Linked DNA regions of Macaca mulatta. The protein of the gene in region 2 interacts with the protein of the main gene of each other region in a pairwise test. Links are inferred from orthologs where the notes say so. Each region holds a gene or a part of one and is shown on either strand. Other genes may lie near its edges.

The links. The genes of interacting proteins can lie anywhere in the genome.
Region 1: the proteins of CREB3 (region 2) and CD82 interact in a two-hybrid assay, tested with the Homo sapiens proteins (2 studies listed by BioGRID and IntAct). The two-hybrid records come from large-scale screens. The link is inferred for Macaca mulatta from reciprocal best matches to the Homo sapiens genes CREB3 and CD82.
Region 3: the proteins of CREB3 (region 2) and AQP1 interact in binary tests that used the Homo sapiens proteins (3 or more experiments, as listed by UniProt). The two-hybrid records come from large-scale screens. The link is inferred for Macaca mulatta from reciprocal best matches to the Homo sapiens genes CREB3 and AQP1.

The regions. Positions count from the first base shown.
Region 1 is NC_133419.1:20,973,184-20,975,532, forward strand, and holds the end of CD82 (CD82 antigen), read right to left. Parts: coding exon 2,237-2,349; intron 1,966-2,236; coding exon 1,882-1,965; intron 1,556-1,881; coding exon 1,478-1,555; 3' UTR 568-1,477; downstream 1-567. UniProt on the Homo sapiens protein: Structural component of specialized membrane microdomains known as tetraspanin-enriched microdomains (TERMs), which act as platforms for receptor clustering and signaling.
Region 2 is NC_133420.1:63,959,842-63,962,042, reverse strand, and holds the end of CREB3 (cyclic AMP-responsive element-binding protein 3), read left to right. Parts: intron 1-38; coding exon 39-145; intron 146-235; coding exon 236-304; intron 305-953; coding exon 954-1,038; intron 1,039-1,135; coding exon 1,136-1,220; intron 1,221-1,301; coding exon 1,302-1,636; 3' UTR 1,637-1,658; downstream 1,659-2,201. Other genes in the region: GBA2 (non-lysosomal glucosylceramidase), read right to left, coding at 2,079-2,201. UniProt on the Homo sapiens protein: Endoplasmic reticulum (ER)-bound sequence-specific transcription factor that directly binds DNA and activates transcription. Plays a role in the unfolded protein response (UPR), promoting cell survival versus ER stress-induced apoptotic cell death.
Region 3 is NC_133408.1:97,453,196-97,457,241, forward strand, and holds the end of AQP1 (aquaporin-1), read right to left. Parts: intron 4,023-4,046; coding exon 3,858-4,022; intron 3,529-3,857; coding exon 3,448-3,528; intron 2,625-3,447; coding exon 2,445-2,624; 3' UTR 568-2,444; downstream 1-567. UniProt on the Homo sapiens protein: Forms a water channel that facilitates the transport of water across cell membranes, playing a crucial role in water homeostasis in various tissues.

The sequences.
Region 1 (2,349 bases), on a different chromosome or scaffold from region 2:
TACTCGGCTAATTTCTGTATTTTTTTGGAGAGATGGGGTTTCACCATGTTGGCCAGGATTGGACTCGAACTCCTGACCTTAAGTGATCCACCTGCCTCAACCTCCCAAAGTCTCACATTTCATCTTTAAAAAGTCCCCTGAATTCTGCACATCTTACTCTAACACATTTCTTTAGTATGAAAATGCTTCCTTCCACAAATCTTTGCAAAAATGATGCTCTAGAAAGCGAGACCAAGTTTATCCTGTGGCCCCTGTCCCCCATCACCAGCCCACATTTTGTGTACCTTCTGGGGGCATCCATACCCTAGTTTCAGAAGCGGGAATGGAGAGATACAATCTATACCTCTCTTAGCACCAAATCAAACTCCAGGCACCCCACCGTGCAGGCAGGCCCATCAGAGCCTGGCCCATCACCGTCCTAAGATTCAGGCTGCAGAGGCAGATGCCTGCGGGGAGGGCAGAGCCGTGAGGGGCCCAGCAGTCTCCAGCAGACCCAGCCACTCTGCTCACACCCTCTGCCCTGGGTCCTCCCCTGCCCCAGGAAGCAGCATCCCTACCATTCCAGACTAGACTGTTATAAATCTTCTTTAATAGTCTTAGAATCTTGAGTGTGTTTTACAGAATGGTGCACACAGAGCCCCCTCCCCTCTCCCCCCTACAAGGCACAGCCTCACCCACCCCACTCCCCAGGGGCCAGAGGACAGCTTGCCAAGAAAGGCCAGCCCACCTTCTCCCAGGAGAAGCCATCCTCCTCCTCCCTGTCCCTGGACAGCTCAGGACCCTGGAAAACACAGGGCCAGCTCTGTGCCATGCCCCCAAGGACTCACCCGTCCCTAAGCAGCTCAGGGCCAAGCCAGATCTCGTTACCCAGGCAGACCCCCTCCGACCCAGCTCCCCTAAGCCCTGTCCCCAGGGCATGGCCCAGGCTAATCTGAGCTGTCTAGATGGACCTGCATCAGGCCTGGGGAAGGGGTGCTACCCCTTAATATCAGGTAAAACCCACCCTCTCCCACTGCCTTCAATATAATTGTGAAAAAACAAAGATATAAATGTCATAGTGGAAATAAGTTGACCCGCCCAGTAGGCAGTCTCCTGACAGCCCAGGGTGCCTTATCTAACGCCCCCCCTCCCAATTTTTAATACAGTTGCCCCCTATACAATATACACACACCCTTGAGGGCAGGTAGAAGTCCAGCCCACCTGCGCCAGGGACGCTGCGGGGAGCGTTTTTCTCTGAGTTGCTAAGAGAACCCTGATGAGCGGTGAGCAGAGGAACCATAGAACAGCCAGGGCTCAAGGCTGACAGCGGATAGGCCAGGAGAGATCGCCAGGCCCCAGAAAGCCCCCTACTTTCAGTCAGGGTGGGCAAGGGGGTCTTTGCAGTGAGGTGGGAGGCGGGCCTGGAGGAGGGAGCCAGGGAGACCCCTGGGAGCCCTGAGGTCAGGGGCCGGGCAGGGAGGTGTGGACAGCAGCTGCCTCAGTACTTGGGGACCTTGCTGTAGTCTTCGGAATGGACGTGCCGGCACAAGCAGATGGACAGGACCATCCCCAGGAGCTGTGGGGAGAGGCGGAGAGTCACAGGGAGGCTGGGCTGTCCTGGTCTCAGATGCCCCAGCCCCGCCATCCAGGTTTAGATGGGGATTAAGTGGATCCTCAACTTGAGCCTCACAACCACCCTGTGATGCAGGCAGTAGAGGGAGGCCCAGAGAGGTGCAGTGCCTTGTCTGAGGTCACACAGCCAGACAGTGCTCAGGCCAGAGGGCCTCTGGAAGCTGATGGGGTGCTGGGGCCCTTGGCCACCACCTCCCCGAGGAGAAAAGCAGAGCAGAGACAACCCAGGAGGACCAGGGATGGAGAAGGGCTGGGGGAGGGGGCTCAGACCTCAATGACAGCCACGCCCACGCCCACGCCGAGGATGATGCCCAGGTTCTCCTGCAGCCACGCCTGCACCTTCTCCATGCAGCCCTGCAAGGGGAGAACACGGTCACACCACCCCACCCTGCACCATCCCGCCCCACCATGCAGAACCACCGAGAGCCCCCCAGTCCCAGCCTGGAAGGGTTCTGCCTGTTCCTTGAATGAATTACATTAACAAAGAAGTAGATGAAGGTACAAATGACAGGTGAATCAAGGGAAGGAACTAAATGGAGGAAGGAAGAGCTGAGCAGTAGCCCAGACGGCCCCCAACACCCTCAGATCCCAGCCCCCAATCCGCAGCCCCCCGCCCACCGCACACCTTCTGGTACACAGGCCAGTCCTCAGGTTTGTTGCCACTCCGGGTCCTGTTGCCGGCAGTCTCGCAGAAGCCCTTCCTCATGGAAAGGCTGTTGTCCTCTTCCCCTTTGTCTT
Region 2 (2,201 bases):
GTCCCTCTAATGATACCCCTTTCCTTGTTTCCTTTCAGATGGAGGAACAAATTCTGAAACGTGTGCGGAGGAAGATTCGAAATAAAAGATCTGCTCAAGAGAGCCGCAGGAAAAAGAAGGTGTATGTTGGGGGTTTAGAGAGCAGGTATGAAAGGGAGAGGGACTCAGTTTTAAGTGTTAGGTTTTTGAAGGGAGGACACAGGCCATATCCCCATATCTTTGTTATTTCCCCCAGGGTCTTGAAATACACAGCCCAGAATATGGAGCTTCAGAACAAAGTACAGCTTCTGGAGGAACAGAATTTGTAAGTATCCCTCCAAACCATTCCCTTCCTACGCTCCTCATTTAATGTTTTCTCACTCTTTCCCCTGCCCTACACTTGATTTCTAACAGGGTGGCTGCCTTCACTAGGTCTCTGATTCTAAGAAGCTCACAGTAGTGGGGAATATATTTATAAGTAACTGAGAATAAGCTAAGTACCTAGAAAAAGAAAGGGGGTAAGAAAGACCTCATGGGCTTTCATAGGATTCTGGGGTTGGGTTGGGAAAGCATTCTAGGCAGAGAGAAAGCATCCTAGGCAAGAGGATTAGCCCAGCATAGTCCTCTTGGGCTGGAACACATGTGAGCTGGGACAGAAGGTAGAGAACGTAGAGAATGCCCGGTGAGGATTATGTGCATAGCTGATCAGACAATGGGGAACTACTGATGATATTTGCAAAGGAGGTTAAGTCCTGGAAGAGTTTGTTTTGTTTTGTTTTTGCTTTTTTTGTTTGTTTTAATGAGGAACTTCAGGCATTTTTTCCAGAGTGGAAGAAGTCGTTTGCAAAAATAGAATGAAAAGTAAGAGAGAGGATCCAGTGCAGAGATGGAGGAGGTGGCCTGAACAGGAGTTTCACTGTGTCTCAGGGTGCTAGGCCAGGGGATGCTCACCATTGGCCCCTCTCTTCCTCTAGGTCCCTTCTGCATCAACTGAGGAAACTCCAGGCCATGGTGATTGAGATATCAAACAAAACGAGCAGTAGCAGCACCTGCATCTTGGTGAGGATAGTGATGAGGGGAGAAATTCTTTTCTCAGTTGCTGGGGACAGTTGTGCAATCCAGAGCCCTTCTTCATCTCCTTTTTCCTCTGCTGTAGGTCCTACTAGTCTCCTTCTGCCTCCTCCTTGTACCTGCTATGTACTCCTCTGACACAAGGGGGAGCCTGCCAGCTGAGCATGGAGGTAAGAGGCTTAAGGATAGCTCTCAGACATGGGCAAGGGGAGAGGCCTGGGTTGGCCTCTGAAGATTCTTTGTCTCCTCAGTGTTGTCCCGCCAGCTTCGTGCCCTCCCCAGTGAGAACCCTTACCAGCTGGAGTTGCCTGCCCTGCAGTCAGAGGTGCCAAAAGACTGCACACACCAGTGGCTGGACAGCTCAGACCACGTACTCCAGGCCCCTGGCAACTCTTCCTGCCTACTGTACTACATGCCTCAGGCTCCCAGTGCAGAGCCTCCCCTGGAGTGGCCATTCCCTGACCTCTTCTCAGAGCCTCTCTGCCGAGGTCCCATCCTCCCCCTGCAGGCAAATCTCACAAGGAAGGGGGGATGGCTTCCTACCGGTAGCCCCTCTGTCATCTTGCAGGACAGATACTCAGGCTAGATATGAGGATATGTGGGGGGGGTCTCAGCAAGAGCTTGTGGGGCTCCCCATCTGTGTCCAAATAAAAAGGGGTGGGCGAGGGCTGGCTGCAGCTCCTATGCCCTATCAGGAGGACTGAGGGCTCAAACACACCACACTTACTGGCTTTCTGGGTCTTTTATTTGTACCCATGTGTCTCACCCCATGAATGTACCTGGGGAAATCAACTGACCTCCCTGAACATTTCATGCAGTGAGGGAACGGGTGAGGAAAGAAATAAATAAGTGATTCTAATGCTGCCTAGGTCACCCTCAACCCCCATTTACTGGCACAACTGGGTGGGGAGAAGGGAAGGGGTATGATTGTCCTGATGGCTCAGGGTTGCAGAAGGTTCAGAGGGGAAGGAGGAAAGGCCAGGCTGGAGGCTGGGCTATTAGTGCTTTCCTCCCACAGTTCAGACGGTTCACTCTGGGCTCACGTTTGCCATGGCTTCCTTTGGTCCAAACATAGGCCCTGTCCTTAGTCCTGTGCCCTGTTCGACTTTTGGCCTGGAGGCCTTTTTGTGCTGCTGCTGTTGCAGGGCTAG
Region 3 (4,046 bases), on a different chromosome or scaffold from region 2:
CATCGGAAGGGTCAGGAGCTGGGGTCCCAGTCTCAATCTGAAGTAGCCCTAACTGCACTGGGCTCTGATGAGTGAGTCTGTCTCCCCTGAGATGCCCAGCCCCGGTCAGATGGGTTGCAAATGTGAGTGGAGGGAGGGAGGAAGGTGGAACAATCCCTAGTGTTCCCTGGGCCCTGCTCTGTGGAGGGTAGAGGGGATGAGGGGGCTGTTAGACTTCAGGCCTGCTTTCCCCCATCACGTCCATACTCCGGAATCAGAAATGGCTCCCATCGCTCCATTTAAACTGATCAGAAGCCTGCCCCTTTTCCCTGACCCCAGGTCTCCAAAGTCATCCCACTGGGCTCTGGAAGTCTCCGGCTAGGGGCAGGACCCTGTATCCCTCAGATAGGGTTTTGGGGGTGTGGCTGTATCCATCGCCTGAGATTGGTGGTCTTGAAGGCAGAAGAGGAGGCAGTGGCTCCTCCTCAGACTAGGTCTCTAGCAGTGGACTGATTTCCTTGTGGAGTCATCCAGAAACATTTGTGGGGACATGGCATCAAAAGAAGAAAAACTACAGGAAGCCCGAAGGACCTTACAAGTCATTTTCCTTTATTTGCTTAACATATAATGAAATTCCAACTCCAAAGAGACATATATGCAGAGCAGACAGATGCAGGGCCCTGGTGTGCAGCAGCCTAGAACCAAGCAGGGGGTGGGTGTGCCCCCTCTCCCCTCCATCAAACCCTCCCCACTCCTGGCCCCTGGCCATTGCCCAGGCAGAAACTGAGAAGCTGGAAATGAGAGGAATCAGCCTTGTGGTCCAGGGAGTAGCCAGAGACAGGGCCTTGGTTACTAGGCCTGGCCAAATCATTGTTTAGCTGAAACCGTGGGCCTCAGTTTATCTGTTAAATGAGCTAGAAGTTCCTGCTAGGGAATGGAGAAGACAGTGTGCAGTCGTGATGCGCTGGTGATAGCTAAGGGCCTCCTGGTTGTCCCTCTGCTTCTAAATACCTGTGTAATTGTGTCTCTTGGTTTCTGTTGCCATCATGGCTAAGTGCACAGTGGTGGAGCTGCTCTGGCCCTGGTGGAAATGAATGGACTTATGTAGATAGATGAGTGGAAGAATTCAGCCTTCAAAGCTGATTCTGATCTCTGAACTGTCCTTGGGCTGCAACTATAGCAACCTCATCACGTCAAGGCTGACCTCTCCCCTCCAGGTCAATGCGGAGGGAAGGCTGTGGCCAGGGGTCACACGGCAAGCCTGTGCAGGTTACTCACCTGCTCAAATGCCTCCAACCAGGAGCTCATGAACAAGAGAAGAGCTTGCTCCATCCTGCTCAGGACCAGCTGAGGGCTTGGAAAACCCCCAGGCCCAGCAAGGTCATCTGCCTCCATGGGCTGACCTGCATCAGGGTCTTTCTGTTCTCAGGCTTTGGGCTTCAGATAGCTCAAGTGCTCTTTGATAAACATACGCCAGCATAATGGTGACCTGTGTCTACACTGATGACAGGGAGTAGAGAACTGAAAGAATGAGCAAGATAATGCAGTGATAGATGGAAAGACCAACTGAAACTCAGAGAAATAACATGGGTATTCCTCCTTCACCCTCTAAATGGCTTTATTCTGTCTAGGGAAGCCTCTCCATGGGGAACAGAAAGTTCCAACTACCTGGCTGGCTGTCGATCTCTGCTTTGTAGCCTGTCTGCTCTGCACACACGTACACAGAGGCGTGTGGCAACAGGCATGCCCCTGGGGAAAGAACACAGGGCAAGTGGAAAGAGCAGCCCTGGTCTAGACCACATCTTCTGGACCCATACTGTGTCTGCACTTAGGGGTTGCAGGCCCATTGAGCTCTGCCGATCCCTGCCACTTTGCAGAAGGAGGTCGCTGAGGCCCTGAGATAGGGACAATTCCAAGGTCAGGCCATAAGTCCGAGCGGGTCGGGGGCCTGCGAGCAAGCAGAGCTGAAGGAGCAAAGCTTGCCCCTCCACTGCACCTCCTGGGATCTCTCCCCTCCAAGCACCATTGGGAGCAAGGTGCATGTTAGGAGAAGAAGGAGGGCCATGCCCAAAGGCACAAAGCAATTACAGTAGAATCCCAGGCACCTGCGCAGGTGAGTCGGCGAGCAACTTTGGGGCAAGGGGGGACTTTGTGGCACACCTCCCATCACACTCTGAGGGGGCGACTAGCAGGTGGGTCCCTTTCTTTCACCTCCTCCACGACTTCAAGGGAGTGGATGTATTGGTAAATCTTGGTCCCCAGGAAGCTCTGAGGCCAGGAAACAGAAAGAGAAAGAAAGAGATAGAAACACCCCCAAATGAGGCTTGACCATGCAGGTCTGGCAGATCTTGGGGAAGTGACTTTGGCCAGCTTGTCAGAGTGTCTACAATATGGATTTCACCCCTCCCCTCCCTCCGCCCGTCCCTGCCCCTGCCCCCTACGTGGATGCCCAGGCCAGACCCCTTCTATTTGGGCTTCATCTCCACCCTGGAGTTGATGTCGTCGGCATCCAGGTCATACTCCTCCACCTGGCCGCTGGTCCACACCTTCACGCGGTCTGTGAAGTCACTGCTGCGTGGGGCCAGGATGAAGTCGTAGATGAGCACAGCCAGGGCTCCCCCGATGAATGGCCCCACCCAGAAAATCTAGGAACAGAGCAGGTACGTTGAGACGGCTCCACTCAGAAGCCCCTGGAAATCGTTCCCTGGGTTACCTCCCAGCCCACCACCCCGTTGGACAGGTTTTCTCCCACCTGCGATGGAGGCAGGTAGGAGCACCAAATCCTAACATCCTGATTCCAGTGCCCTCAAAACTGGCCCAGGCCAGAGTACGTGGTAAGGGCACCTCCTTGCCTCTGCATGGCCCAGCTCAGGCATGGGCAGTAGCAGCCCCTTCTTGAGGAAGGCCACTGCCCCCACGCTTCCAGCTTTGAAAGGGCCCCAGATACCATTGCCTAATGCAAAGCTGGCCTAGCACATCCACATCCACAACCATAAGAGACAAAATCCACTGAGCGCCTCCTCTGTGTTGCGCTCAGTTTACAGATAGGGAGTGAGCCCTTTCCTCCTCCTGGCCACCCTGAGAGGTGGGTACCACCATATGCCCCTCCGAAGCTCAGGAAACCAAGGCTCAAGCACACGGTGCAAGGTCATGCTGAACCTGAAAGTGGCTGAGCCAGGATTTGGAGCCCCACTTTCAACCACACAACTGGGATGACCTGGAGGCCAGGCAGCATGGGGCAGGGCCGAGCTGGGAGGGCAGAGACTGGGCCTGAAACTGCTCACAGTGTGACCCCACCCTGCCTCTACATGGCAGGCCTCGGTTTCCTGATTTCCTGTCCCCTGGCTGTCTCCTAGAGCCTCCAGGACAGGAAGGGACACTGTGAGAGTGGGGTCAGGCTTACCATGGGACACCAAAGCCTCCCACCCTACCTCCCTGCACAGTAGGGGCAGCCTGTGGGTCGCCTACCCAGTGGTTGCTGAAGTTGTGTGTGATCACCGCGGAGCCGAAGGACCGAGCAGGGTTAATCCCACAGCCGGTGTAGTCAATCTGTGAGGGAAAGAGACAGGGAGAGGCAAAGGCAGAGAGTCACAGGTGAAGAGAGAGTGAGAGGAGGGAGAGGGTGGAGGGAGAGAGAACAATCAGGGTGGGGGACAATGAGACCCAGCAAGAGAGGAGTGCTGACCCCAAGCTGGGCAGGAGGTCCCTCTGCTCCTCTCCAGGGCAGGACCCTGCCCCCCAGTCCCCAGCACTGACCTGCCGTCCTCCACCCAATGGCAAGAGCCCTGCCGGGAGCTCCACTGGCTGCCCATGGCAGGGCACCCCACCAGCCCCTGCCCTCCCTTCGCCCCCACCATCTGGGTGGGCCCCTGACTCACAGCCAGGAGGTGTCCAAGGGCTACAGAGAGGCCAATGGCAAGGGGGGCTGAGCCACCAAGGTCGCGGCGCCTTCGGTCAGTAGTGGCCAGCACACACAGCACCAGCTGGAGGGTCCCAATGATCTCGATGCCCAGGCCCTGGCCTGAGTTCACGCCATCAGCCAGCTGCAGGGGACACAGGCGGTGAGG